4 linked regions of the Stegostoma tigrinum genome follow. The protein of the gene in region 3 purifies or fractionates together with the protein of the main gene of each other region. This does not show direct contact. Links are inferred from orthologs where the notes say so. Each region holds a gene or a part of one and is shown on either strand. Other genes may lie near its edges.

Region 1 (7,770 bases), on a different chromosome or scaffold from region 3:
AGTAAGGATACAATAGGACAGGTGACCAAAAAGCTCAGACAAATTGGGAAAATTTAAAGGAAATATATTTTAAAAGAAGAGACGAGGTAGACATTTAGAGGGGTATGCTACAGTCTAAGATCCAGACAGTTGATCCCATCACTATTGTGAAGCTACACCTGCGACAAAATATCTGGAAGAAAACAAAACAGGTCAAACAGGCAAGTCACTGAAGGCATATTGCTTTTACCCTCTGGATGAAACTGCTCCTTTAATGACACAAAATATAAACATATTTTAGTTACGCTGTTTCTGAGGTCTCTGGCCCAAAGGGGACTTAAGTTTTCAAACTATAATTCTCAGGGGCTTGCCTTTATATGAGAAGTAATATGATCCAGACTCCCAAAACACCATCTTACGCCAAAGTACCACATCAGATAGCAGAGATTCTAATATGCACAGCAAACTCTACTATCCCCAGCTGTGAAGTAACCTAGTAAATTTCCCTTGCCTCAGGAGGTTAAAGGGAGGAATGCAACAGGGAAAATTAAGTAAACAATAAAAAATGAGCAATTTCAATATTTTTAATATATCTGTAATTGATCTTACCTTGTCTAATGCATGTTACTTGTGATGTCCACAGTCGCAGTATGGGAGTAAGGTAATTCATCTCAGATAGTACATGGCTCCTGCTATAACTCAGTTTCTGAAAACAGTGAATAGGTGATCTAAACAGACCAGAAATATCCCAAATAGTTTGCAAATCTTAACCTGAGTGATACTACTGTTGATTTTACTGGCCTCTGTGCAGAGGGAAGAAAAGAATTGGATTTCCACTGTAGCAATAATGCCAGAAGATTAGGAGTACAGGGACTACCCAATCTATGGCGTCCCTCACATTGGTGGGGTGGGGGGAGATTCTGCCACACTGGGCCGAGATTCCAGGGTGAGGCACTGCCATGCCAAGCTGAGAGACTGCCATGGGCCATTGAGAGACGGGGCCAAGACACTGCCATACTAGGTTGAGAAACCAGCATGGGCTGCTGAGAGATGGGGCCAAGGCACCACTACATTGGGCCGAGAAACTGCCATGGGCCACCAAGAGACTCAGCCGAGAGACTGCCAGAGGCTGAGAGGAGACCTCACTGGGTCTGCATTGAGGCCGCGTGTGAAGAAAAGAAACACCAGGAGAGAAAAAAAAGAGAAAGAAATAGGAAAGAAATGGATAGAGTGGATGACCTCCTGCTGAAGCATCCTACTCCGGTGCCAATAGGAGGAAAGGAGCAATGTGTGTATCATCTTCTTAATATCACATCAGGGAGTGATACACTACTGTCTACTACAGACAGATAGTTTCAGGACAGGATTTCTCTTTCTTTGAGGTCAGTTTAGCTCAGTTGATTCTCATCTTTAAGTCAGCGGCTTCAACCTTAAAGCTTGCTCCTGGGCTTGAACATATCATCTAGCTGATACTTCAAAAGGCATAGAGAGTGCTGCATTGTTGGAAATGTTATATTTTAGATCAGCAATTAAGGTCTGATCTGTATTTTTATGTGAATGGAGAGATCCTACAACATTATTTATCTGAAAAAGATCATGGGGAGATGGATGATCTATCAATATCATAGGTGATATACTAGTGTTGTCATTAGACTAGTAATCCAGATATCTAGGCTAAAGCTCTTGGGACATGGGTTCAAATCCAACAATGTTCAACTTGAACTTAGTGAATAAATCTGGAACTAAAAGCTAATTTCATGGTAAGCATGAAGTAATTGCCAAAAACATCTGGTTCATGAATGCCCTTTGGATTGGGAAAATTTGCTATATTCACCTGGTGTAACCTGCAGTGAGCAAAGCAGTACTTACTCAGCAATAACCTACTCACTGTCGCTCAGTTTGTCTGGCCCACTGAGTTACTGTCCTCATTATAGGCTGGGTCCAAACATGAATAAAAGAGATGAACCTGTGAAGGAAAGTGAGGGTGATTGCCTTTGACATTAAGGCAACATTTGAACAAGTGTGGCACCAAGAAACCCTAGCCAAATGGGAATCAGAGGGAAAGCTCTTTGTTACTTGGAGTCATATTTAACGTAAAGTAAGATGTCTGTGGTCGTTGGTGATCAATCATCTTAGCCACAAGAAATCACTGCAGGAATTCCTCAGCTGTTTCAACAATTATGCACCCTTCATCATAAGGTCAGAAAGGGGCATGTTTATGGATGATTACACAATATTCAGAGCCATCATAGCTCCTTACATACTGAGGTAGCACAGTATGGAGCTGGAGGAACATAGCAGGCCAGGCAGCATCAGAGGAGCAGGAAAGTTGACGTTTTGGGTCAGGACCTTCTTCAGAAATGGGAAGGAGCAAGGGAGCTCAGAAATAGAGAGAGGGGTGGGGCTGGGGAAGGTAGGTGGGATGGTGATAGGTGCGTGCAGGTAGGGAGTGGGGGGATTGGTCGGTGTGATGTGTTGGGTAGATAGAAGATCGACAAATTGTGTCAGGTCAAGGAGGGGGGATGAGAGGGAGGGTTAGACACGGGATGAGGCCGGGCATAGGGAGATTTTAAAACTGGTGACATCAGTGTTTAGGCCATTGAGCTGTAGGCTCCCAAGGCAGAATGTGAGGTGGTGCTCTGCCAGTTTGTGGGTGGTGTCATTGTGACACTGAAGGAGGCCCAGGATAGACATGTCACCCAGGGAGTGGGAGGAGGAGTTAAAATGGTTGGTGACTGGAAGGTGTTGTTGTTAGCTCCGTACTGTATTGTCTCTGACTCCGGCATCTGCAGTTCTTGCTATCTCCTTAGATACTGAAACAGTCAGTGTCCAAATGCAGCAAGATCCTGACTTGGGCTGATAAGTGGAAAGGAGCATTTGCAATACACAAGTGCCAAGTAATGACCATCTCCAACAATACAGAATTCAACCATCTGCCCATGATGCATTATCATTCATAGTTGAATCTCCAACTATCAATATTCTGGGGGTTGCCACTGACTAGAAATGGACCATGACTAGCAATTTTAAACAGTGGCTAAAGCAGTATTAGTTAATTTTTCTTGATTCCAGGGCGGTCAAATGACATTCCAATCATTCTATCAAGATCATAAAACTCCACAACAACTTTTTAACAAACTTCTTGTTGCAGTCACTTCATGAAAAATAAATTAATGAAATGGACTTGACTATGTTGCCACTTGGTGCATATTGATTTAAATTCATGGTAGACCAAATCAAATGCCACAGAACCTAGATCTACCAGTTGTGGTGTTCATTCACTGTTTAGTTAGTTATTCAATTTTCAAATGGTGCTTCTACTGTCAGTTGTAGGATGCTTATGATCAAATAAGTCAACACAAACCAAGAGTGAATCAGGGGACGTTTGGGTTTTGGAATCATTGGACTTTCAAGTCATTGAACAGCCACTTATTGAATTGTTTTGGCAGCTTTGGTATGGCCTTTCGTCAGTTTGAATACCTTTCTTATCAGAGAATGTTCAGAGCTGCTTGTTATCAATTGCAGGGAAAATGATATGATGTGATGTGATAGAATGAGTATTTTTACGACTGTTAACAAGAAGTAATGATATACACAAAAATATTAATACAGAATAGAATCCCAGGTAGTGTAGTGCAAAAAACATACATAATTTAGGAATCGACTGGATTCTGTAAAGGGAGGGGAACCTTCAGAATAGTCTGCATTTCTAAATTGTATGCTGATGTCTGTAATTTTGTTATACTGGAAAGTGTGATTGAATCAATTGAACATGTGAGGATATTCATCTTGGTCAGTGGTGCAAAACGGGCAGTACTGGAGATTTTTCTATTCAACTTGTTCAGAGATGTAATTAAACACATTTGGAGCAGAAGTTCTGACAGAATAACTGGATTTGAAACCTTAACTCTGTTTTTCTCCCCAAAGATGCTTTAGACTTGCTGAGTTTCTCCAGCAATTTTTGTTTTTGTTTCAGAATTATTTGCAATTTTTGTCTTTGTTTTACTTTTAAGGCAAATGAAAGGTTGGCTTTTTTTCCAGTCAAAATTGTGTGTGTGGGTAGAGGGAACTCAGTGTGGACCCAGTGGAGCACAGCAGGCCAGGCAGCAACAGAGGAGCAGGAAAGTTGTCGTTTCAGGTCGGGATCCTTCTTCTGAAGATTCTGTTCTGTCAGATAGAATAAGGTAAGATTTTTAATTAGTAAGGGAACCAAAGGTTTTCGGAAAAAGGCAGGTAAGTGGAGTTGAGGTTTATCAGATCAACCGTGGTCTCATTAAATTGGAGAGCAGTTTCAATGGGCTGAATAGCTCAATATTTCTTAACAATGTTCTTATTCTTACCTGGTCAAGCCTACGTGACTCCAAAGTTCCAGTAACATGGTTATTTCTTGACTTCTCTCCGTACAATTAGGGATAGACAGCAGACGTTGGACCAAACAGTTTTGCCCACATACCCATCAACAAATAAAATAAAAATTAAGGCTAAGCAAGTCGGGAGCTACCAATCCCTTCAATTTTGAGCTTTTACCACATCCCCTCCTTCAATGTCCTTCTCCGTTGGCCGACCGAGATGTCGTTCAATCTTACCTCATCACTCCATATGACTGCGGCATTAGCCACTTTCCTGGCTTTGCCGCTGTAGGAGGAGTTATCAGTCAGTTGGAGAGGGAGCTGCCCCGACGATGGGGGATTCTTTCTTGCTATTTGTTATATCGTCTGCCACTCAACTAGCACGGCGCCCGTCTATTGGTCAGGGGTGGAAGTTTACGTCACGGGTGGGATCTGCCCAAACGGTTGGTGCGCGAGCTGCAGTTCGAGAGCTCGAGCGAAGCAGTGAATCGTGACGGACGGACAGCATTTTTAAAATTTTGGATTAAAAAGCGATAAGCAAAGTCCATCTATTTCTATAGATTATAATTCAGGAAGGCGACAGCGTTCGAAAAAAAACTTGAATCTCGGAGGTAAGCGACAGTTTGAAAAAGCACCTTGTTTTTGGTCGATTTATTAAGGCGGAAAAGGGAGAGAAACCAGGAAGAGAGTCAGACACCGGGTTGGGCCGGCGCGCTCGCCGCAGGCAAGAGGCTCCCGACCCAAGACGTCAACTTTCCTGCACCTCTGATGTTGCCTGGCCTGCTGTGTTCCTCCAGCTCCACACTGCTGTCTCGCCACGGGCAATTTCGTTCCTATCAAATTTAAATACTTTTTCCTTTTTAAAAAAAAAGTTCAGAGGATAGCTTTGCTCTATCGACTAACTCTACTGACGAATTTAAAAACTACCTTAATCTGCAAAAGAATTGAGTTTTTTGGAGTTAGTGTGAGCTGGATTGTTAATGCATTTTTGTAATTTTCAAACTCGTGCTAATCAGGGGACAGGTAACATGGAAACCGCCTTTCGCGTTCCAGCCACTATAAAAATGGGCTTGGCTTCCGCTTCTTCGGTTGTATGAACTCCCTGCCTCCTCTTAAAAAAAATCAAATGTGATTTTTCTCTCAGTCTAAAATAATTAGTTGGTAAGATAGCAGTTAAAATGATTACGTCTCTGGGACGTGGAATGCTGGCGAGAGGCATTTCATTGATTTAATATAGAGCAGAATAATCCACTCTTATGTACGCAATTGTCCTATATAAAATATTTTTGGTATCATTTAGCTTGCATAGTTATGTTCTGTTCCAGGACAGTAATGAAAAGCTGCTTTTATGAAGTTAAAATAAAACTTTGAATTTTGAAGAGAGGAGAATTCAATCTTTTCCCCAAGTGCCCATCCCATTATCATTAAAATTGTCAGCACCCTAAGGACAGTAATTGACTTTCTTGTTTCTGACAAGTAAAAACTATGGTGTGAAATGTTACTGTTATAATATCTAACAATTCATTTCCAAAATTAAATGCATAAGGAAACTTTGAAAACGTGGGTTATATAATTTGTGTTTAAGTAAAACACCCTTATGCACCTAGAATATAACCTTTGAATACTTCCTTTTAAAATGGTTAGATTTTTGTTTAAAAAAATTGTTAATTGGATAAATTACATATTCCCCAAATTTGGAGATGATGGTTTAAAAGGAAGAAGTTTAGATGGTGTACAGCTTATTTACCTGAAAGTACTGCAAATGAGGTCATTAAACTGCTTTGCCATATGATAGCTCTTTACCTTCTGCAAATCCTTAGGGCTTCTGCATGAACTAAAGCCCCACCCAGTTCGAAGTGTAAAACTGTAATGTAAGTCAAGAATGACTCATGGAGAAGTGTGCTGATAACTTACAAAAGCCTTCCCGTTAGCTGACTATAACTTTTCTGGAATTTGAAAATGTTATTGCTTCAAAATGCCTGGTAGCTTATACTGCCTACTAGTGAAGGATGCATTTTTACAGAGGTTAAGAATGTCAAAACAAGCTTGAATATTTCCAAAATGCATACTGTTGTTTTTCTTCTGATACTATGAATAATGCAGCAGTGAAATGCTGAGGATCACTTTCCTCATGCTTTTGTTTCCAGTAATGTGACATTGATCAAGCTTTTCTTCTATAAAATTTACATTCACCCAAACTTCTGTTGCTCATGTTCTATGCTTAACTTTTGCTCACCTGTCACTGTTTGAACTATTTGACTTCTGGTTTTGCAATGTTTTGATTTTAAAATTATCATCTTTAATTTTGAGTCCATCTCTTTCCCTTCAACCTCTGATCTCTAGCACTACAGGCTTCAGATTTTTGCACTCTTCAAATTCTGGCGGCTTGTGTGTCCCCATTTTTTCATCCCTGTATAATTGATAGCCTTTGGCTGCCTGAGCCCTAAGCTGTGGAATTCCCTCATTCAGCTGCAGTTCTTCTGTACCTTTTCTTCCTCCCATCCAACCTCGTCTTATTTATTTGAGGTGCTTTATTAAAACCATCCTCTTGTCTGTTTTAATGTCTTGTGTGGCTTGATGTTTAAGTTTGTATGTATTGTTCCTGTGCAGCACCTTGAAATGCTTCATTATATTAAAAGTCCCAAATAAACTATTTATCTACATGATTTATAAGATTTAGTCCATTTAAGTTAGTGTATCTTTCAAAATGTTGTCTGAAATCTCAATATTGTCAATGGGGAGGTTGCCCTGCTTCCTATTTGAGAATAAGTAATTAATAAATTGAGCCATAATTTACTGCAGTAAAAAGACCGTGTCACTTTCAAATGTGGCAAAGGACTTTTGACATTTCTATGGCATTTCAGAAGGTACTGAAATCTTGTAGTTTTGGCATTTGGACATTTTGTAATTATTGAAGTTTTAACTCTGTTATCTTCCTTTAGCTTTATGAAATCATTTGGAAAAAAGTAATCTAAATACTCCATTTGAAATTTCTAAGCTATTTAAATATAATGTTTTTGTACAGGACTAACTTCTGCAGAAATTATCATCTTTTCTGAATGTTCACACTTGGAAAAGGAATTTGGTAGTCAAATGGAACAATAATATAATATATTTCATAAAATAGAATTGGTAATTTATAAAAATCAAACCTGCATACCTTGAAGGTAAAAGCTAAAGGTATAGGTGACAATATGTCTGTATACGATCAAGGTATAAGTAGTCCAAACTCCTTTTTGTCTTGCATGATTTCCAAGTTTCTAGGGCATCAAGGTGTGGTGGCGTGCTTAAGAATGTAGAGTGGTGTTCTGACTTGTTCATGATGGATGTTTCATGTTTCCTTTGCACTGTCTTGCTTTGTTTCTTTCTGGAAAAGCTTTTACATAGGGAGCAGAAGAACAAAAAATGTGAAGTACTTTTTAAAAAGTTGGAAAGAATTTTA
Region 2 (7,991 bases), on a different chromosome or scaffold from region 3:
GAGCGTGTTGGAGAACCTGCCTGGCGTTGACCCAAACAACGAGGCCATTCGGAACGCCATGGGCTCCCTACAGTCGCAGACCTCAAAGGATAACAAGAAGGAGAATGAGGAGGAGAGGAAGTAGAGCTGGGTTGTCCCAGTTGATGTGAATGGAGAATTCTGTCCATACAGTGATCTGCATGTTGCTGCTCCAGACAAACTGGCCTTACAATACGATGAATATCACATTCTTTAGCAGTGGTTATTGGCTGCAAGCAGTAAAACATTGCGCGTGAAAATCTCTATCTCTTGACCCTGGTTGGTAGCACGGTGTGAGTTTTTTGCTTTGGAAACAGGACATTAATAAAATACACAAAGACCTCAGTTGTACTTCGAATTTAATTTGAGTCTGTAACTGAGTCCCTGTGTATGTGGCTGCACAGACATATCACTGAGAAGGGGTTGCTCAGTGTGACATTGCTCCGTTCTAGCCTTCTCATTGTTGGGAGATAATGGTCCTTCTTGTGTATAACTAGTTATAATCAAACTGTTCAGACATGCAGTGCTGCGTAATAAAAACTGAAAGGACTGTGGATGCTGGAAGTCACAAACAAAAACGCAAATACCTGGAAAAGTTCAGCAGCATCATTGGAGAGAAGTCCACGTAAACAGTTCAGGTTCAGCAACCCTTCCTCAGGACTGATGCATGTCCGGGCCAGGTGGGACTTCAGCCTAGGCCTTCTGGCCCAGATATTGGGATACTTCCACTGAACCACAAGAGCTCTCATATTGGGGTTTACCCTTTGTTTTGAGTACTGCTACAGAGATTACTATGGGAAAGAGGTGCCGGTGGCAGCCTATTTAGTAAGCAGATACGGTAACCACTTGCAAGTGATGCCAACCATGTGATACACAGGATTAGAAGCTGACCAAACCTCACTGTCTCTTAAAACATCTCCGTTTGTGTGCGTGTAAGAGAAGGGCAGGTTAAACTGGGGAATGAAATCATTGGTGTTAATGGCACAAGGATAGAACGAAACCACCGACCAATGCTCGCAAGTGCTGATCTTGGTTAAGCCACCAGAGGGAGACATTTCCCCCCCCTGCCCTCAAGCCAGGGAGCGATTGCAGTCTGAGACAGGTACCAATGCTTCTATTGAACAAGGGCTCCGGAAAGGAAGACCTGGAAGGCCTTCCTGCTTTCAAGGGTCAATGAGATAAGAAGTCACAGGCTGCTGAGTCAGAAACTTGTGACTCTGTGACCCTTTCCAGAGAGAGGCTCATGTTCTCATGCAGTGCCAAAGGGAGCGGCACACGATCAGGCATCTAGTTTGGGGCAACGAAGATGTGATATAAACAGAACGCTTTAGAAATGGGTGCTATTGATATTGCTATTTCTGGAGCAGGCCAACATTCTTCGCCCATCCCATGGTGCCCTTGAGATGGTGGTGGTGACCTGCTGCCTTGAACTGCAGTTCACTAAAGATGGTGCATCCACAGTGTTGTTAGAGAGAGGGCCAGGATTTTGACCCAGTGACATTAAAAGAATGGTGAAATAATTCCAAGCTGGGACGGTTATCTGAAAGGCAAATTGGGTTATTGGCAGGAGGGAGGGAGCGGAATGGCAAGAAGTGAATTGGTCATTCACAGACAGTGTACAAACATGAGGGGCAGGACAGCTGTTTTCGGTGCTGTGACCCCTCTGCGATTCTGTAAATGTAGAAAGGACAGCAGATCAAATACCTCAGCTCCTGTGGAGAAGTTGGGATTGGAGAAAGACAGATTAAATTTCGACAGACTGAATAACTGGCAGGAAGGTGAAGCACGAGGGAGATGTTGAAATGTTTGTTTTGATGTCACGAGTTGTGGTCTAGAACTCACTGCCTTGAAAGGGTGGTGAGAACAGATTCAACAGGAACTTTCAAAACTAGATACTTGAAGGAGAACGGCTTGTTTTACCCGAGTCAGCTTTCAAAAAGAGCTCCTCTATATATCCCATTCTCCCACTGCTCTCTTTCCACAGCGCTGTAATTTTGTACCCTGTTAGTTAAATATTAATGGGAGCTTTCTAAGTGCAAATTAGCTGCTGTGTTTCCTATTTCACAGCACTGTGAACATTAGCTGTAAAGTGTTTTGGGATATGTCATGAAGTGCAATTTCTTTTCAGTGACTCAGTGGTTCGCACTGCCACCTCATAGCACCAAAAACCCAGGGTTTGATCCCACCCTTAGGCAACTGTTCTCCTCCTGTGTCTGTTTCCTTCCACAGTCCAAAGATGTGTAGGTTAGGATGGACTGGCTATGCTGAATTGTCCATTGTGTCCAGGTTAGGTCAATTAGTGATGGGAAAAGCAAGGTTACAGGGATAGATAGGGTAGGGGTGTGAGAATAGGTGGGATATTCTTCAGAGAGGTGGTGTGGACTTGATGATCCGAATACATTCTATGGTTCTTTCCATGATAATTGGGCTCCTTGTTCCTCACAGAGGAGTACAGCTCCATCGGCAACAGAGAGAATGGGAAACACAACCAGACTGGAAAGGCACAAAAACAGAAGTTGCTGGCAAAGCTCAGCAGGTCTGGCAGCATGTGTGGAGAGAGAAAGCAGAGTTAATGTTTCGGGTTGAGTGACCCTTCCTCAGAACTCTGATTTCTCTCCACAGATGGTGCCTGACTTGCTGAGCTTTTCCAACAACTTATACTGACAGGAAAGGCTTTGTGCTTCAATATTTCCAGGCAAATCTAGGTCTGTTTTGCCGAAAAATGCTCATGGGTCTGAGGGGCATAGATTGGGAGACTATTTCCCCCTCCATCTGTAATAAACTGGTCAATAACTAAAGGGTTTTAAAGGTAAGAAGCAGAGATTCTGCGAGGACTTGAAGAAAATAATTTTCACCCAAAAAGGGTTGTGAATTTGCAACTTGCTGCCTGAAAGAATGGTGGAGCCAGAAACCATCACAACATTTCAGATGTGTTTTAGATGAACACTTGAAAAGCCATGAATACAAGGCCCAGTGATGGAAAATGAGATAGAATATAGTTTTTTTTTTAAAAAAAACTTGGAAGAACTGCAGATGCTGGAAATCTGAAAGAAAAACAAATTGCTGGAAAATTTCAGCAGGTCTGGCAAAATCTGTGAAGAGTCAGAGTCCTCCAGCACTGAAACAGATCGTTCAGTCCAAGCCACACATAATCCTAACTGCTTGCGCTTGCCCCAAATTCCTCCAAACACGACTTATTCATGTACCTATCCAAATGTCTTTTAAACATTGTAATTCTACCCGCATTCACCACGTCCTCAGGAAGTTCATTCCACGCACGGACCACCCTCTGTGTAAAAAAAAATTGCCCTTTTTTTTTTAAATCTCTCTCCTCTCACCTTAAAAATGTAACCCCCTAGTTTTGAAATCACCCCTTCCTAGGGAATGGACAACTCCCAGTAGCTATATATACCTCTCATTAGATCTCTGTAAATCCCCTCTGAACCCTCTCCAGTTTAATAATATCCTTCCTGTATCTGGGTGACCAGAACCAAATACACAGTACTCCGGAAAAGGCCTCACCAACCTCAACATGACTTCCCAACTCCTATCCTCAGAGACTGAGCAATGAAGGCAAGCATGACAACCACCCTGTCTATATGTGACACAAACTTGAAAGAATTATATACGTGTGCCCCTAGGAGCCTCTGTTCTATAACACTAACCAAAACCCTACCATTAATTGTATAAGCCCTACCCTCGTTTGTTGTACCAAAAGGCACTTATCCAGATTGAACTCCATCTGCCATTTTTCAGTCCGTTGACTCAATTAATCAAGATCCTTTTTGTAATCTTAGAAAACCTTCTTCACTGTCTATAATGCCATTTGATGTTATCCACAAACTTAGTAACCATGCCTTCTAAATTCTCATCCAAATCATGTATATAAATGACAAACAAAAGAGGACCCAGAACCAATGCTTATGGAACAAGGGTTGTCACAGGCCTCCAGTCTGCAAGGCAACCCTCCACCACCACGCTCTGTCTCCTGTTGTTAAGCCAATTATATGTCCAACTGGCAAACTCACCCTTAATCTTGTGACCTAACTTCACTAATTAGTCCACTGTGTGGAACCTTTTTGAAGGCTTTACTAAAGTCTAAATAAACAACATCTACTGCTCTGCCTTAATCAATCTTTTTGGTAACTTCCTCAAAAAACTGAATCAAGTTTGTGAGACATGGTTTTCCTCACAAAATAATGCTGACTATCCCTAAGCAATTTTTGCCTCCCTGAATGTTCATTAGTCCTACCTTTTATAATCACCTACAACAGAAGTCAGACTCAGATATCTTTAGTTCCCCAGTTTCTCCTTACAAACATTCTCAAACGAAAATACAACAGCAGGCACCCCACCCATGGTTATAGATGATAAATATTTTTGCAGGGGGTCTCACAATTTCCTTCCAACAACATTCTGGGATACATTAGATGAGATCCTGGAGATTTATCTACCTTTATGTTCTCTAACATCTTCTGGAGAGAAAGCAAAGTTTAACGGTTCCAGTCCGTTTCTGAAGAATCCAAAACATAGGTGTCAGTATTGAAACCAGACATTCACCCTGCTTTTCTCTCCAAAGACCTGCTGAGCTTTTCCAGTAATTTCTTTTTTGTGCCCCCGACCGAAACATGGTGGATACTCCGGTGTGGCTCAGCAACACGTGTAATCATTGATAATAAAATGTGAGGCTGGATGAACACAGCAGGCCAAGCAGCATCCCAGGAGCACAAAAGCTGACGTTTCGGGCCTAGACCCTTCATCAGAGAGGGGGATGGGGGGAGGGAACTGGAATAAATAGGGAGAGAGGGGGAGGCTTGCCTGCACCCCACCGAAAAGAAGAGTAACTTATTCAAATTATAGCATTTGGTTTTGAAAAGAACAATTTCTCATTCATTCCGACTTTGAAGGTCCTTAAGTTCCGGGAGGGACAGAGCGAGGGGGTGGAGTTAGTGAGCGCTTGCGCAGTGCTGCCGGAATGTATCAAACTGTGGCTATGTATCAATTGTGAAGGGCCGCGTTGAAATTGACTGGACATGGAGCCTTTCCTTAGGGGCTGTATAACCACTTTGGAGGTGAGTCTGGCTGGGTAAGAGTGTGTGTCCTTGTTTCGGGAAAGTGGGCAGCTACTCTTACACTACTGTCATACGTTTCGCTCCTGTCCCCCTTGCAAGACTTCTCCATCCCCTCCCCCTTTTACGACCATGCAGATAGGAAGATTACCAAGTGTATTTAGCTCTGAGTAAGGCAGGCGTTGGAGAAACTTTACCCTCTCAGTCGAGTAGCTAAAGGAGGGCAAGAATTTTCACGCAAGGAGCAGGAGGGTATTTGAGGAACGTTTTCCTTTCATCCAGAAGGTGCTGGGTGTATGTAGAACTCACTGGTCCACAAGGTGGTACAGGCTGGACCCCTCGCAACATTTTAAGAGCTATGCAGGTTATAATTTAAAGAGCCAAAGCAAACAAGGCTTGGGGCAAACTGGTGGAAAGTGGGTCTACAGTAGGTAGGTATTTCTTGTACAGGTACAAAATGTCTTAGGTTTGTTTGTTCCTTCATCTGCTGCAGTACAGAACCGAACTGGTTTAGTGCCTATGTATATGTACAGATATTTTTATGAATAAAGTATATTTTTCAAATTTAAAACAAACTTGATGGAGAAGTACGGACCTGGTTGTCTGAGAGACTCTATGACCCAGTGCTGTGGTACACCCTCTTCACTCCTTTATTTGCCCTCTGTTACTGCTGGTGTTGTGGCACCTGCATGTGCCCACCTCCCCCGACCCCCCCCCCCCCAATTCCTCCCCCGACCCCCCCCCCCCCAATTCCTCCCCCGACCCCCCCCCCCCCAATTCCTCCCCCGACCCCCCCCATTCCTCCCCCGACCCCCCCCCCCATTCCTCCCCCGACCCCCCCCCCAATTCCTCCCCCGACCCCCCCCCCAATTCCTCCCCCGACCCCCCCCATTCCTCCCCCGACCCCCCCCCCATTCCTCCCCCGACCCCCCCCCATTCCTCCCCCGACCCCCCCCCCATTCCTCCCCCGACCCCCCCCCAATTCCTCCCCCGACCCCCCCCCCAATTCCTCCCCCGACCCCCCCCAATTCCTCCCCCGACCCCCCCCCAATTCCTCCCCCGACCCCCCCCCCAATTCCTCCCCCGACCCCCCCCAATTCCTCCCGCCGACCCCCCCCAATTCCTCCCGCCGACCCCCCCCAATTCCTCCCGCCGACCCCCCCCAATTCCTTCCCCCCCCCAATTCCCTCCCCCCCCCCAATTCCCTCCCCCCCCCCAATTCCCTCCCCCCCCCAATTCCTCCCCCCCCCAATTCCTCCCCCCCCCAATTCCTTCCCCCCCCCAATTCCTTCCCCCCCCCAATTCCTTCCCCCCCCCAATTCCTTCCCCCCCCAATTCCCTCCCCCCCCAATTCCTCCCCGCCAATTGCTCCCCCCGACCCCCCCCATTGCTCCCCCCGACCCCCCCCAATTCCTCCCCCCGACCCCCCCAATTCCTCCCCCACCTCCCCCTGCCGAATCCTCCCCCCCCACCCCCGTCCCCCGCCCCCCCCACCCCCGTCCCCCGCACCCCCCCCACCCCCGTCCCCCCCCTCCCCCCCCACCCCGTCCCTCCCTCCCCCCCCCACCCTCACCCCCCCGTCCCCCCCCACCCTGTCCCCCCGTCCCTCCCCCCCCCAACCCCTTCCCTCCCCACCCCCCGTCCCTCCCCCTCCACCCCCCGTCCCTCCCCCTCCACCCCCACTCCCCTCCCCACCCCCACCCCCGCTCCCCTCCCCACCCCCACCCCCACCCCCGCTCCCCTCCCCGCTCCCCTCCCCATCCCCGCTCCCCTCCCCACCCCCACCTCCCCCCCTCCCCTCCCCACCCCCACCTCCCCCCTCCCCTCCCCACCCCCACCTCCCCCCCCTCCCCTCCCCCCCCTCCCCTCCCCACCCCCCCCTCCCCTCCCCACCCCCACACCTCCCCCCCTCTCTCCCCCCCTCTCTCCCCCCCCTCTCCCCCCCCCTCTCCCCCCCCCCTCTCCCCCCCCCCTCTCCCCCCCCCTCTCCCCCCCCCCCTCTCCCCCCCCCTCTCCCCCCCCCCTCCCCCCCCCCTCTCCCCCCCCTCTCTCCCCCCCCCTCTCCCCCCCCCTCTCTCCCCCCCCCCCTCTCTCCCCCCCCCTCTCTCCCCCCCCCTCTCTCCCCCCCCTCTCTCCCCCCCCCTCTCTCTCCCCCCCCCTCTCTCTCCCCCCCCCTCTCTCTCCCCCCCCCCTCTCTCTCCCCCCCCCTCTCTCTCCCCCCCCCTCTCTCTCCCCCCCCCTCTCTCTCCCCCCCCCTCTCTCTCCACCCCCCTCTCTCTCCCCCCCCCTCTCTCTCCCCCCCCCTCTCTCTCCCCCCCCCTCTCTCTCCCCCCCCTCTCTCTCCCCCCCCCTCTCTCTCCCCCCCCCTCTCTCTCCCCCCCCCCCTCTCTCCCCCCCCCCCTCTCTTCCCCCCCCCCTCTCTTCCCCCCCCCTCTCTTCCCCCCCCCTCTCTTCCCCCCCCCTCTCTCTCCCCCCCCTCTCTCTCCCCCCCCCTCTCTTCCCCCCCCCTCTCTTCCCCCCCCCTCTCTTCCCCCCCCTCTCTTTCCCCCCCCTCTCTTTCCCCCCCCTCTCTTTCCCCCCCCCCTCTTCCCCCCCCCTCTCTTCCCCCCCCCTCTCTTCCCCCCCCCTCTCTTCCCCCCCCCTCTCTTCCCCCCCCCTCTCTTCCCCCCCCCTCTCTTCCCCCCCCCTCTCTTCCCCCCCCCTCTCTTCCCCCCCCCTCTCTTCCCCCCCCCTCTCTTCCCCCCCCCTCTCTTCCCCCCCCCTCTCTTCCCCCCCCCCTCTTCCCCCCCCCTCTCTTCCCCCCCCCTCTCTTCCCCCCCCCTCTCTTCCCCCCCCCCACTCTCCCCTCCCCTCCCCTCCCCCCCCCCCACTCTCCCCTCCCCGCCCCCCTCTCTCCTCCCCCCC
Region 3 (6,946 bases):
TGTAAAAAGAACAAATCTCTCCCTCAATATCAACAAAACTTAAGAGCTGATCAACTACTTCAGGAAGCAAGGAGGAGAGCACGCCACTTTCTACATCAAGGGAGCTGAGGTGGAGATGGTTGACAGCGTTGAGCTCCTATAAGCAACGTTCACCAACAATCTGTCCTGGTCCAGCCAGGTTGATGCGACGGTCAAGAAGGCAAATGTCTCTTCGTCCTCAGGAGACTAAGGAACTTCGGCACATCCACACATGTTCACGCTCAATTTTTTTTTAACAGATGCGTCATAGAAAGCATTCTATCTGGATGTATTACAGCTTGGTGCGTCAACTGCTCTGCTCTGGACAGTAAGAAACTCCAGAAAGTTGTGAACACAGCCCAGATCATCATGCATGCCAATCTTCCACCCGAAGACTCAAGTTACACATCTTGCTGCCTCAGAAAGGTAGCCATCACTGAAGACTCCTCCCATCCCAGTTATAATCTCTTCCAACTTTTTTCAATGAGGCAGGACATGTAAAAGCTTAAGCACAAGTACCAATAAATTCAAGAACAGCTTCTTCCCTGTTGTTATTAGGCTTCAGAGTGGACCTCTCAAATTTCAAGTCTAATGCTGATCTTGCTTTTTGTGCAACTTTGTATTCCTTGCTCTGTTCTATCATCCTGTGATCTTAGTATGTTATGATCTGATCTGCATGTACTGCACACAAAACAGAACTTTTCACTGTACCTAGGTACACGTGACAAGAATAAACCAAATCAAATCTTTCATCATTGAGTGAGTTTGGTTCTGCTCTACTTATTTAGTTGTGGCCAGTGAAATCATCTGCAATTGCTCATTTGCTATCCTACATTTTTATGTCCAATGTCCTCTGATGATCCACTCTTAGCTCTATTTCTGACACACATGCTGTCCTTCAGTGATATAATCTGAAAACACACAAATTTTCACACTGTCAATGCTCAGTCTGGCCTCACTCTCACATCTCTTGATTCTTCCACTGTGGCTAATTTATCAGGCTGGTTGAGCAGAAATTTCATGCAAATAAAAAATTTAGAAAACTAAAATGCTGGCTTCAGTCCGGGTTGTAAGTGTCATTCTCTGTCTTTTATCTCTATCTGTAACCACTCCTCTTTGGTAACGTTTTCCTAAAAGAAAAATGGTTATCAAAGTTTTGTACTTATTACATGCCTCTGACCTATTCAATCATCCTCAAAATTTTCTTTTTTCTCACTTATAATAGTTTTATTTGCTGATATAAGTGTAAAATGCTTGACTATTTCTTCTGAGCATTAAGAACATTTTAAAAGTTTCTTTGTGCTCCTTTTTTGTTTTCCTTACCTGTAATCTCTTATTTTCTCCTACTCATTTTACTTTTCTCACTGAAAAGTCTAAGATATGGATATTTTTTCTTCGAAGGTGATTAACAACCTGCTTTGGAACCAGCCTCTGGCACAGCTGACAATTTCAACTACATCTACTTTATATATCTCTACAGTTTCACTCCATCCTAGGCCTATACTTAAGCATAGCAACTCGTCAGTCTATCTTCTGTAAAAGGAACAGGCTCAAGATGCTAAATAATCCAGTTCTGTCCTATTTTTCTATAACATCTGAACTCTGTCTCAGATTGCTTTTTTAAGCAAGTTATTGTTAGCTCGTTTATATTATTATTCATTTACAAGCTGCATTCAAATCATATAAATGTATTAATATTTCACCAGCTATATGATTTTACCAATTACTTCACCAATCAAATTCACAACAGCCAGAGTCAGAGGTCTATGGCCCTTCCGCCCAATCTTCCTATGGACCTCAGTTTTCACAATTTAAACTAATCCCATTTGCCTGCCTTTGGTCCATATCCCTCCATACCTGTTCCGTCCACGTAGATTGGATTAGATTCCCTACAGTGTGGAAACAGGCCCTTCGGCCCAACAAGTCCACACTGCCTCTTGGACAATCGCACCCAGACCCATCCCCACCCCCTACAACCCACACACCCCTGAACACTACGGGCAATTTAGCATGGTTAATCCACTTAGCCTGCACATCTTTGGACTGTAGGAGGAAACCGGAGCACCCGGAGGAAACCCATGCAGACATGGGGAGAATGTGCACAGATAGTTACCCGGGGCTGGAATCAAACCCACGTCCCTGGCACTGCGAGGCTGCAGTGCTAACCACTGAGCCACCACGCAATGTACCTAACTATTTCTTAAATGACAATTGTATTCGCTTCCACCACTACCTATTCTAGGCAATCACCACACTCTGAAAAAATATTGGCACTTTGGACTCTTAAATCTTTCCCCTCACGCCTTAAATATATGACCTCTAGCTTTAGGTTTCTCAATCATGGGGAAAAGCTGTCTATCTACCTTACTGATGCCGCTCATGATTTTATAGACTTCGATCAGGTCACTCCCTCAGCCTCCTACATGCCAGTGGAAAATTTCCTAGCCTAGCCAACCTCTCCTAATAACACAAACCTTCCACTCCAGGTAGCATCCTAGTAAGTCTGTTCAGCGCTCTTTCTAATTTAATATGGTAGGGTGACCAGAACTGCATACATTACTTCAAATATGGCCTCATCAACATCTTGTACAACTGCAATAGTAGAGTCCAAACTAAGTTCCATACAAATCACAATTTTCTCAGTTCAATATCAGAAAGAACAAAATATCTTGCTTGGTTCATGCCAGAAACCTCAGACCTCTGTTGTCAAAGCTGCCTCACTCTCATCACATGAATTTCATTGCTGATCCAAATGAATCTCAAGATGTGTACCATCAAGGGTCTATTTACTTGAGTGGCAATTCAAATCTCAATCTAACCTATTGACAAGCTCTGCTACTTTTGTCATAATTGTGTGTGCTGAATTTCAATCTGAGATTTAAAACTGAGTTTTAGAAAAAGAGGTTGTCAAAAACAAATCTAGAGTCCACCAATTTCCTACTTAGTCACTTGCTGATAAGATGTTCCTGAAGATACATGTTTTGTTTCTGCCCCCCCAAAATGTTTGAGAGATTTAACATTACCGATAGAAGTTACAAATTTGCAGATACTTTTCTAACTGTCTGAAGCAAGACCAATTCTGTAGTTACATCACAATCATTTCTTCAGCAAATGAGTTACTTGGAAATCAATAGTAGTCTGTCCTAGGGCCAAGTACATCTTGTCCATTTAACTTATGACTGGTGGAATAGATCACTAATCACCAGGCGTGACTGGTTTACTCCAACAGAGGGCAAGGTCCATTCAAATCACTGCCCAACGTTCATAATCAGCCTTAAAGCGATAAAACTTGTGAACCATGATACCGTTTTCTCGGGTATCATAGGTTGTTCAGCTATGACTGCAGAGTTCAGCAGCTGATTTACATATAAATTCAAATATTAGAGGGAAGAAAATATTGTATTTTCTAGAACAGATTGCCTATATATTACTTACCACTGGCCTTTGTTCTTTTTTGCTATTCTGATTCTAATTACTGATAGGTTCTGTATACGTAAGTATTTCCTTGTCTGAAATATAAGCTGCACCTGTCGGTTAAATCGTACCAGCCGCTCCTCCAAGCTAGAGGTCGCTGCCAGTTGCCCTGTAATGCGTTCGAACACTTCCAATCACAGGCAACGCTCGTCGTCAGATTTTTCCGTCAGGTTCCGGTTGGCCAACGTCACTGGCACTTCGCGGAGCTCGTGCTTTTCCGTCACCGCTCCTTATTGCCGACGACGTGCTTTCATTGGCTGGCGAACACAAACGAAGAGGGGGAAGGGCAAACCGAGGCTGTCGGCCCGTTTCCCCGTCGCTATCAGTCAACCGAACTTGATAAACACCTCCAGCAACACCCCCTCGCCGATTGGTTCCGCATCGCCCTAGGCGATGCTTACGTCTTTGACGCGTTCTGTGAATGGTTCTTTTCTCACATCAATCACTGCGCCCCGGCATCAAGTTAGATTGACCAGGAGGTTACAGCTGCAGTGAGAGGGAGAAAGAGATAGGCAAAAAAAGTACAAAGACAGCCGAGTGAATTAGGGAGGGGTTTTAACCGTTTTAATTGGGGTAAAACCACGGGTTTTCCCTCAGACATTGTTTTATTTTTTTTCCGTGTACTAACAGAGATGCGACTGGGCTATTAAGATCTGAAAAAATAAGCCGAGAAATTAAAAAAAAGGAAAAAAAATTACCTCAGGATTGAATTGAACTGAAGGAGCCGCCATGGCAGGAACCACCACCACCACCACCATCATCATCACCACCACCATCCTGCATTGAGCTCGGTCAAGATCAATATAGACCTTTGAAATCATTTCAGATTTATTTCTGACGATTATTATAAAAATATTTTTTAAAAAGACAGATAATTTGACCAGGAGAAATTTGCGCGATGAAACCAGGTGGACAGGATTAAAAATCAGAGGGGATCGAAAATAAAGGAATATAAGTGTCTTTTTTTTAAAAAATATATGTTTGAAAAATTAGATGTCGCTTTAAAGTAATCATGAGTGGTCGACCCAGGACAACGTCTTTTGCTGAGAGCTGCAAACCTGTGCAGCAGCCGTCTGCTTTTGGGAGCATGAAAGTCAGCAGTAAGTACATTATATCTAAATCATTTTCCTTTATTTAGAATCTTGCACACCTTCACCCCCCACCCCTGAAAACATTGTTAATCGAACGATTTCTTGACCTGTGGTATTTGTTAATTAACAGTCAGTGCTAATCGTAAAAAATGTAGGCCAGACTGGAAATGATTCGCCTGATGGTCTGCTTATGGCCGAAAGGATTCCTGGTAACAAACGATTTGAAATCGGAAAAGACGGAAAACTTTAATCTGCTTAGAAATGTGCATAAAGTAATTGTGAACTGATTCTTTTAACTCTGTAATTGCTTATTGATATTAATTTAACATATATAATTATCATGAGTTGGAATTGGAGTTTACAACTTCTGAAGGGCACAAATATTAGAATAACTTCATTGTATAACCAGTGGACATAGAAATGGAACATGGAAATTAATTTCTAGCTTTTTCTCTGCGTGTCCATCAGGTTAAGCAGAGATGTGGTATGTTTAGGAATTTGGCATATTTGTGATAGTGTGCAATTAGTACTTTCAACATGTCAACTTTGATTTTAACTCATTTAAAAATGATGCATTTTTTAAAATATAGAAACAGCATAATTTGTAACTGTTGGTTCTACCAAATAGTTGATTACTTTTTTAGTGTAAAACTTATGTTAGTGGCGTACACTAACTATCTTGTTTTCATAATTACTGAGTATGTTGTATATAGTTATAACTGTATGTGCATGTCTGTGACAATAATGCAGAATCTAGTGTACATCCAAAACACTCCTGACATTTCTGAATTCACAAATATCAAACAAGTGGGGCAAAGAAGTGGAGGGAAGAAGGTTGACTAAATGAAGTGATGAGACAATAGTAATACTTGGACATCCCTACTGGAGGTGGACAATCCCTAAAGTTGCTACTGTCAATCGACTGAGGGCAGACATGAAAGAATTTGTGATAAGCTAGCTGTACTGTTGGAAATGTGCAAAATTTTGCACGATTTGTGCTGTTTTACAATGTTTTTATGATAGGCCTTATTTAGAAATTGGTATGACAAATTACTTTTTGCATACGTTTTCATAAACTGTTTTTTAATAAAAATCCTAAATATCCTGACACAATGAGTTCTAAACTTCAAGAATCATTGGATAAGGCTAAATTGGTATGCTGTAGTTTTACTTTTGTGAAGCTATTCTGTTTTTTGTTGTAAATCTATTTTGTATATTCGGATTTAGTCAGATTGTTTTAAGGCTTTCTTTGAATGTTATTCTATCACATACATATCAAGGAATTGGCATAGCTGTGGAAAGACAGTACTTCTCATTTTCAGCACAAAACATTGTTAAGGGCCCATCTCTTGCCTTTTATTTTGTTTGTAAGAAGTTCATTATGTAGTTTATTTGATTAAAATTGCAATACCTCATTTAAGTTAATGCAACCAAGGAAATTGCAACTTTGATCCATCGTGTCTGCGAATTAATTGACCTCGATCAAGACAGCAATTATTGTGCTACTGGTGACTTCAGTCCATCATATAGGAGGGGGAAATTGGTCAGGCTTTCTGCCATAGAATGTGTTTTCCTCTGTTGTAAGCTGTTGTGTGCAGGTACTGAGTGAGGACAGAATTATATAGGCTTGGCTAAGATAATTCTATACTGTTTTGCTACTGTACAGATTCACATAGCAAACTTAATGTGAGTCATCACCAAAATGTAAAAGTTTTATCTGAACACTTACCTGAACACTTATCTGTTCTTTTAAAAATCTGAGCTACCTATGGCAGCTGACAAATGGCCATTTTCCAGTTGCTCTGTATCGTGAAGGATTGATGATGTGCTACCTCACTCCGGTGCGCTTCCATGGACTCCCCATCCTCCTCTTTCCTTGTCCGTACTCCTCCTTTCTATCCTTTTCCACCCTTCCTTCCCCAGTCCTTACCCCCATCCCCACTTCTCCTCCTCCTCTTCCCACTACCATCCGCCCAGGCCTCTCGTCCCAGACTCCCTGTTTCTACTTTCTCCTTCTCCATGCTGCCCCACAACCCTCCATCCTGCCCACTTGCCTTGTCACCTGCCCGCCTCTCTCATCACCCCCACCTCCTGACACCCCTGAAATAATCTCCCTTCCAGCCTTCTGCCTTTGCCCTGCCCACCTCTAACCCAATGCTCTTGCCTTTTCCCCACGGCCCTGGCCCCCTTCCTCCTCTCCCCCCTCTACCAGCCTCTCTTCCTCCCCTCCCCCCCGGCCCTTCTCCACCTCCTCCTTCTCACCCACCCCGGCCCTTCACCCTCACCAGCCCACCACCACGTCCCTTCCCTTCTCCGCCCAACCCCCCCCCACCCCCTTGTCTCTTCTCTTTCTCCCCCCACCC
Region 4 (7,376 bases), on a different chromosome or scaffold from region 3:
TGGCATAATTAGCTATTTCAGACATGGGGAGGGCAGAGCCTTTATTTAAACATGAAGATCTGAACTTAAAGTTGCAGGCTATTTGTCATAGACAAGTATGATTGAATGGCACTTGGTGTGAGATATTTTGGTATACAGTATTATTTGAACTTGGAAGTGCTATACTTTGGCAATGAGAAATGAGGAGCTAAGTGGAGTGTTTGGTGATTTCACTTAGTGTTGGAAATCATGAGTGGCCATGCAAGATGTTTGGTGATCATTACCTTGGCAAGGTGGCCTAAGGAGGAACTTATTAGCTTATCTAGTGAAATTCCTTCATGCAGACTATTGTTCGTGTCACATCTGATTCACTGTGAACCACACTCTTCAAAAATCTGGTCCTGCCCAAAAGGAAACACTGCAGTAAAATCTGATGCAAAAACAGCAATTACTGGAGAAACTCAGAAAGTCTGGCAGCATTTGTGGAGAGAAAGCTTTTTCACCACAGATACTACCAAAACAACTGGGTTTCTTCAGCAATTTCTGTTTTTGTTTCAGCTGTTCAGCATCTGCAGATCTTTCTTTTAATTTTGTAGATGACGCATACTGATTTAACTTGTTTTGTGTACCTCGGAACAGTGCTCCGGTATGATCAATGTATTCATTTCCAAGTATTACTGTTTTTTTTAATGTGTTTTTCTCTCTCTGGGTCAACGACGCAATGGAGGAATGTGTCATGCCAACTCAGCAGTGAGCTGGCTGGGCTAGGAGCGGTAGGTGTGGACTCAGGACCTGAATAAGCTTGTCCCAAAGGTCCTGTAAATTGGGCAAATTTGTTAAATATTTAGAAAGACAGAACAATCGCATTCAAAAAAAAACTTAATGTCATATAGAACCAGTTTATATTCCTAAGGGATATGAAGCTCAAATGGCAAAAGACAACATAAAACTGAAAGAAAACTAAAGACAGGAATGCAAAAAAAAATCATGTTGATTGGAAGAGCTTTTAGGAATAGCAAAGAGTGGCAAAATCAATTGTAAAATTTACAAAATACTGTATGAAAAGAAATTTGCAAGGGATACCAAAACAGCATTGAAAACAAAAAATGCTGGAGATCACAGCGGGTCAGGTAGCATCCATGGTGAGAGCAAGCCAACGTTTTGTGTCGAGATGACTTTTCTGCAGAGTTGATGTGAAGGGTGGACAGGACAGCATCTATGCATTAGGTGGGGGGAAGGGGACGATGTGGAGTGCTGGGGGAAGAAAGGGTGCTGATAATCCAGATTAAGTGATCTGAATGTGAGAATGGCAGATTGAAGTTGTCTCTTGCTGGCAGACTGGAAAAACAAACAGTCCACTGGAGTCGGGGGATGGGAGAGAGGACATGGTCACAAATAATGTAAAATTAAAAGAATTAAAGGAATGGAAGTGGGTTCTCAATCTGAAAGAGTGTGAAGAGGGATGAACACAGTAGGCCAAGCAGCATCTCAGGAGCACAAAAACTGACGTTTCGGGCCTAGACCCTTCATCAGAGAAGGTGTTTAACTCAATACTAAGTCCAAAACATTGTAAAGCCTGGCAGTTAGACACACCATTGTTCAGCCATTCTCACATTCCAACCACTTAATTTGTACTATCAATACCCTTTCTTCCTCAGCACTGCAAACACCATCCCACAAACATTGCATAAATGCTGCTCCCTTCACACTTCACAGCAGCTCTGCTGAAGGGTCATCTAGATGCGAAACATTAGTTTGCTGTCTCCCCATGTATGCTGCCTGATCTGCTGTGATCTCCAGCATTTTTTGTTTTCAGTATAGATTCCAGCACCTGCAGTAATTTACTCCTACCAAAACCAGCACTTTTTAAAATCATTTGCGTTATGAGAAAGACAGTGTAAGTAAAATAACAGTAATGAAGAAAATAATAGATCAAATAAAATAATGAAATAACTCCACAGCTATCAGTATCCCATCACTAAGTCATCTTTTAATTACACATGGAGAACCCTTGAGACAGATCCAGATTCCTCAGAATTTGCCCTGAGTGAATAGGATGTCTGATATTCAGGTTCTTATCTGTCAGCTACGCCTCTCTGATTGGACCAGATTAACAGCCCGATCAGAGAAGTCATATTCTATAAGGACCAGCTGGCTGATTACAATCACTACACCAGATAATTTCTATCCCAGGGTTTTAAATGAAATTCTTATCTAGTATTTTGAAGAGTAGGTGCTGACATGATGGACTGAATGCCTGCTTTCAGCGCTTTAACAATTCTCTGATTCTGTGAAGTAGGTGAGGACATTGCAAATGCCCCACCAACAGTTTTCTAAAATTCTCTCAATTTTGGGCCCCACACCTCAGGAAGGACATACTGGCACTGGAGCGTGTCCAGCGGAGATTCACACGGATGATCCCTGGAATGGTAGGTTTAACGTAATGATGAACAGCTGAGGATCCTGGGATTGTATTCATTAGAATTTAGAAGGTTGAGGGGAGATCTAATAGAAACTTATAAGATAGTGTATGGCTTAGAAAGGGTGGACGCTGGGAAGTTGTTTCCGTTAGATGGGGAGACTAGGACCCATGGGTACAGCCTTAGAACTAGAGGGGGTAAATTTAAAACGGAAATGAGGAGACATTTCTTCAGCCAGAGAGTGATGGGCCTGTGGAATTCATTGCCATGGAGCGCAGTGGAGGCTGGGATGTTAAATGTCTTCAAGGCAGAGATTGATAAATTCTTGATCTCACAAGGAATTAAGGGCTACGGGGGGAATGCAGGGAAGTGGAGTTGAAATGCCCATCAGCCGTGATTAAATGGCAGAGTGGACTCGATGGGCTGAATGGCCTTACTTCCACTCCTATGTCTTATGGTCTTCAATTTCTGCTTCTTTAGATCAATGCTTACCAATCTTTCTTTTCCTGTGATCTCTTTTTTTATGTCCTGAATGTTTTTGCGACTCCTTAGGAAGAACTATTGGAACTGGAGCACATGTGTACAGTTGTCATAACTTGGTCAGAACTCCACAACTGTCTTTCTGCATTGGAGTTCATGATCCCAATATTTCAGCTTGTAAACCGCTTTAGGATGTCCTATTTTTGGACTGTAAAATTAGATTTATGAGAGGGAAACCAGGGAACTATAGGTCAGTTAGCCTAAATACATTGGCTCAAAATTACTTGTCAGCTGTTAAGGATGATGACTGAACACCTTCAAAATTTTCAGCTGATTGACCACAGCAGCATGGCTTTATAATGGATATATTATGCTTGATGATCTAGTAATTTATGAAGAGGTGACTAATTCATTGGATGTGAAATATCTATTGAAAGAAAATGTCAATGTATGTTAATTTTTGATATGGATATCTAGAAATCATTTCCCAAAGGACCGTTCGGGTTAAGCCTGTACTCTTTGCAATGTAGAAGAATGAGTGGCAACCTTATTAAAATTTACAAGATTCTTAGGGGACTTGACAGTATAGGTCCAGGAAGGTTGTTTGCCCCGAGACAGTCGAGAACAAGAGCATTTAACCTCAGAATAAGGGGTCACACATTTAAAACATAGATGACGAAGAATTTCTTCTCTGAGTGTAATGATTCAGTGGAATTCTTTACTGTAGAGGCCATTGAGGCTGGGTCATTAAGTATATTCAAGGCTGAGATAGCGTTTTAATTAGTAAGAGTGTCAAGTGTTATAGGGGAAAAGGCAGAAAACTGGAGTTCAGGATTATGAGATCAGTCATCACCGAACTGACAGAGCTGACTTGGGCTGAATGAACTTGTGTTCCTACACCTTGTTATGCTATGACTGATTGAAATTTTCAAGATATTACAGTGAAGAAAGAAAGACTTTCTATGGTCGGAAAGTGTCGCATCGGGGGCTTCAACTGAAAACGAATCTGACCTTTCAGGACTGCGAGAGATGGGAGAAGTCTCTTCCTCGCAAGTGACAACTGTTGCTCCTTTATTTGTTAGTTTAAAATCTGAGCCTGACACGTTTTTGTTAATCGACTGTGTGGGTTGAAGGTGGGCATTTGAAGAATCCAGTGACATATCCGCCGTGATGTCCTTGAATGGTGTACAAGAGTGGCTCAAGGGCCTACGCTTGCTTAAATACCTACGCGGTGCGTGTGTCAGTTTATCCCCAACCTCGTGAAATTTGTAAACAGTGAGAGACGTGCAGGGGTAGCAGCACGTTGGTTCTGTGAGGGTACAGAGTGAATGCTTGAGTGCAGCGTGTAAACATGGAATGTGCGCGTTACAAGTGTGGTGTCCCGTGTATGTGCATACAACACACTGCACATACCATTTCCACAGGCCTGTGGTTTCCGCCTCCCCTCCCCCACCGCGGCTGAGAGCGAGGCGCATTGACGTCAGCGGCGCGGCTGCCTTCCGGTGGAGGTGACAGTGACTGAGGAAACTCGTCCTGCCGCAGTCGCTTTCTAACAGGCCCCTGTTCCTACGGATAAACTTGTTCAGCCTGTCGCCCCTAGGATCGGTGGGGGGGGGGGCGGAAAAGACAGGCCCATCGCCCTCCCGCTCCGACTGTCGACTTCGTTTTCTGTGGGGTGGGTAGGTTAGAGGAAGGGGGTGGATTGGAGGAGTAGGCGGCGAGTGGTCTCTCGGCGCCGAGTTAACTCGCTGTCGATCATTCCTCCAGGCTTCTGAAGCGTTAACTGGGTGGCTAAGATGGCGGCCGCGGGGAGCGGGGAAGAAGAGCGCAGCCTGCGAGAGTGTGAGCAGTATGTCCACAAGCACAACATCCAGCAGGTCCTCAAGGACTGCATCGTTCAGCTCTGCATCGCCAGGCCCGAGAAACCCATCACCTACCTCAGGGAATACTTCGAGAAACTCGAGAAAGTGAGTTGAGAGGGCAGCAGGTTTCATTTTCTCAAAGGAAAGGAGAGAGTAGCCTTGTTTATTTTGTTTGGGGCGTGTGGTGGTTGACGATTAAAGGACAGTTTGACTTTTTTTGCTTCGTGTATGATCAAGCTTCTGTAGTTGGTTGATGGCGAACGTGGCAGGCCGACGTTTTAGTGCTGACCTAGAAAAGAGTTTTGTTCGTGTTTGGTGCATATGTTATTAAGCAGTTAACGGACCAGAGACAAAAGCAAAGCCAAGCAGAATGTAAGCACTTGTTAAGATATTATCAGTGAGTCCTTTGATTGTTAACAACATTCTCGGTTTCATGAAGGTGAGTACCCGCGCGCTGAAAAAGATTAATGTAAAAAGTCTTTTTCGGACAGAGAAATCACCTGTTTAGCTTGGTGCAAAAGTATTGGACATTCAAGGTAATCAGTTTCCTATAGTCTATGCTCATGGCTGCAGTTTTGCTCCAAATACTAGTGACACTCGAGGGCCATTGGTGACTGCAACATTGACGTCAGAACGCTTTAGGTAAATCGTGGGTTGCTAGAAATGTGAAATCACTTTGCATCATCTTGTGATTTCCCAGAATTTGAATGAAGTAATTAGATGTATTCACATTCTTTTGTCTATCCAGTAAATTTCTTCCTGTCTTTTCTGTTCTCTCTTCCCTCCCTCTTTCCCCCCCACTAAAATGCACATAGTGTGGCCTCCAAGGTTTCCATTTAATTTCGGATCTATATATTGCCCCTTGTCATCTGATTATGACTGAATAAAGATTGCATGAGTAATAGTAAATTGTACTTAATTCATAATTCTTCACTAACAAGAGAATGATATTACTTCAGTGATGCGAAGTGTTGTTATTCACCGAAAGCAATATTTCACTCTGTAATCTTTCTACCACCTATAAGGCATAAATCAGGAGCTGTATGGAATACTCTGCATGTCGATATGAATGTGCCTGTTAAAACACTTGGAGCTCAATGATGCACAAAACATCCCATCATCGTTGTAAACATTCACCACTCTAAATCGTGCTTTGTTCTGACTTGGATGTATACCAGTCTGTCTTCATCACTGAGTCAAAATCCTGAAACTTGGTACTATGGCTGTATCATTATCATATGGACTACGTTGGTTTTTCTTTAAAGATGGCATAAGCACTTTGGCTGTGGGTGGCAGAGCTTTGCATACTTTGTGAAAATACTTTGTTTCTTCAAAAGTAGGGAAGGAAGTAATAATCAAATAAGTGGGTTCTTTTATATATTTTGTGCACAATGTTATCAGCAATGTTTCTGCAAGAATTAAAGCTTTGTGAAGGGAATGAAATTCTGAAGCCTCTTAAAAAGTGACCCAGTATAATTTCAGACATGTAGAAAAATCTGTTAAATATTACTGGCCAGTAAAATTCGCTTGTTTAAAATATCATCATTTCAGTTGATAGGGAAGTACATAATTTGTATTTTTTTACTTTGGGTTCTGGACAAAATCAAACACGTTTGACAATTGATACATGACTTGTAACCTGTGTAGTGTGATTGTCATGTATAGAATATTGAGCTGCTTTTAGCAAAAGTTCGGATTACATTAGTTTTAACATTGCTTAGTCATTTACCTGTTTTACGATTGAACTAGATGTCACTTGGTGGATAGATGAAGATTGATTAAATTGACAATGATTTGTTTATAAATCTAATTAAAAACAGTGCCACTTCTGACTAGTTGTTTTTCTTTCAAGAACAGTTTGTTTGCAGATAGGTTAGCTGATTATAAAGTAGGTCAAATTTGTTAAAAATGCTGGGAGTTATTAGAATTGATGAACAAAGTTAGCATGACAAAATAATTTTAAATTACTTAAAATTTTAGATTTAAAATTTTGGGGAATTCTAAAGGAATAAACATTCAATTCAAAATTGAACAAAATCATTGGGGAATCTTCAGAAATTCCCATTTTTAGTATGTAGCCAGCAGCACCAACTAGGAGTGGGGTTCAGTATTAAGGGCATTATAATGTATTACTGAGGTTGGCTTAGTATATCCTGATAATTTTTGAACACTATAGCTCCAAAGGACATGATTGTAGCAAAAGGGGCAGTGAAGCTGATTTCTCAAGAATTGAATTGAGTCAAGAGGGAGGCTTTAATACTTTTTATTTGTACCAGCAAAAGAGTGTTTATTTTTGGCATATTGCTTTTTAAAAAAAATAACATTTTGACTGGTGCTAAAGATTTGAGAGACTGAGAAAGATAAGCCAAGGCAAACATTTAAAAACTGAATTACTTCAGAATGACACTGAACTGGAAGTTTGCAAAATAAGTTGTTGCAGAGGAGTAATTCTTGTACTTGACATCCATTGCTAATTGGAAGACAAATCCCAAGTATAGATATGTTTTTTTAAAAATGTGCTCATAGAATGTGGGTGTCATTTGTAAGTTAATGCTTATTGGCCATCTATAAATACTCTTTTTAGAAAGTCATGATGAACTGCCTTCTTGAACCATTATAGTCCATTCACAGTAGG

What was found.
Region 1: the proteins of gsk3ba (region 3) and myosin-9-like purify together in Homo sapiens (affinity purification with western blotting; 4 studies listed by BioGRID, with this or other methods). This does not show direct contact. The link is inferred for Stegostoma tigrinum from reciprocal best matches to the Homo sapiens genes GSK3B and MYH9.
Region 2: the proteins of gsk3ba (region 3) and prune purify together in Homo sapiens (affinity purification with mass spectrometry; 5 studies listed by BioGRID and IntAct, with this or other methods). This does not show direct contact. The link is inferred for Stegostoma tigrinum from reciprocal best matches to the Homo sapiens genes GSK3B and PRUNE1.
Region 4: the proteins of gsk3ba (region 3) and cAMP-dependent protein kinase type I-alpha regulatory subunit purify together in Homo sapiens (affinity purification with mass spectrometry; 3 studies listed by BioGRID and IntAct, with this or other methods). This does not show direct contact. The link is inferred for Stegostoma tigrinum from reciprocal best matches to the Homo sapiens genes GSK3B and PRKAR1A.

Annotation. Positions count from the first base shown.
Region 1 is NC_081391.1:3,547,383-3,555,152, forward strand, and holds the start of myosin-9-like, read left to right. Parts: upstream 1-4,767; 5' UTR 4,768-4,939; intron 4,940-7,770. UniProt on the Homo sapiens protein: Cellular myosin that appears to play a role in cytokinesis, cell shape, and specialized functions such as secretion and capping. Required for cortical actin clearance prior to oocyte exocytosis. Promotes cell motility in conjunction with S100A4.
Region 2 is NC_081400.1:4,160,978-4,168,968, reverse strand, and holds the start of prune (exopolyphosphatase PRUNE1), read left to right. Parts: upstream 1-4,985; 5' UTR 4,986-5,051; coding exon 5,052-5,090; intron 5,091-7,991. Other genes in the region: putative PIP5K1A and PSMD4-like protein, read left to right, coding at 1-124. UniProt on the Homo sapiens protein: Phosphodiesterase (PDE) that has higher activity toward cAMP than cGMP, as substrate. Plays a role in cell proliferation, migration and differentiation, and acts as a negative regulator of NME1. Plays a role in the regulation of neurogenesis.
Region 3 is NC_081365.1:34,870,942-34,877,887, forward strand, and holds the start of gsk3ba (glycogen synthase kinase-3 beta), read left to right. Parts: upstream 1-3,941; 5' UTR 3,942-4,504; coding exon 4,505-4,592; intron 4,593-6,946. UniProt on the Homo sapiens protein: Constitutively active protein kinase that acts as a negative regulator in the hormonal control of glucose homeostasis, Wnt signaling and regulation of transcription factors and microtubules, by phosphorylating and inactivating glycogen synthase (GYS1 or GYS2), EIF2B, CTNNB1/beta-catenin, APC, AXIN1, DPYSL2/CRMP2, JUN, NFATC1/NFATC, MAPT/TAU and MACF1.
Region 4 is NC_081375.1:22,779,356-22,786,731, forward strand, and holds the start of cAMP-dependent protein kinase type I-alpha regulatory subunit, read left to right. Parts: upstream 1-4,356; 5' UTR 4,357-4,558; intron 4,559-4,646; 5' UTR 4,647-4,675; coding exon 4,676-4,846; intron 4,847-7,376. UniProt on the Homo sapiens protein: Regulatory subunit of the cAMP-dependent protein kinases involved in cAMP signaling in cells.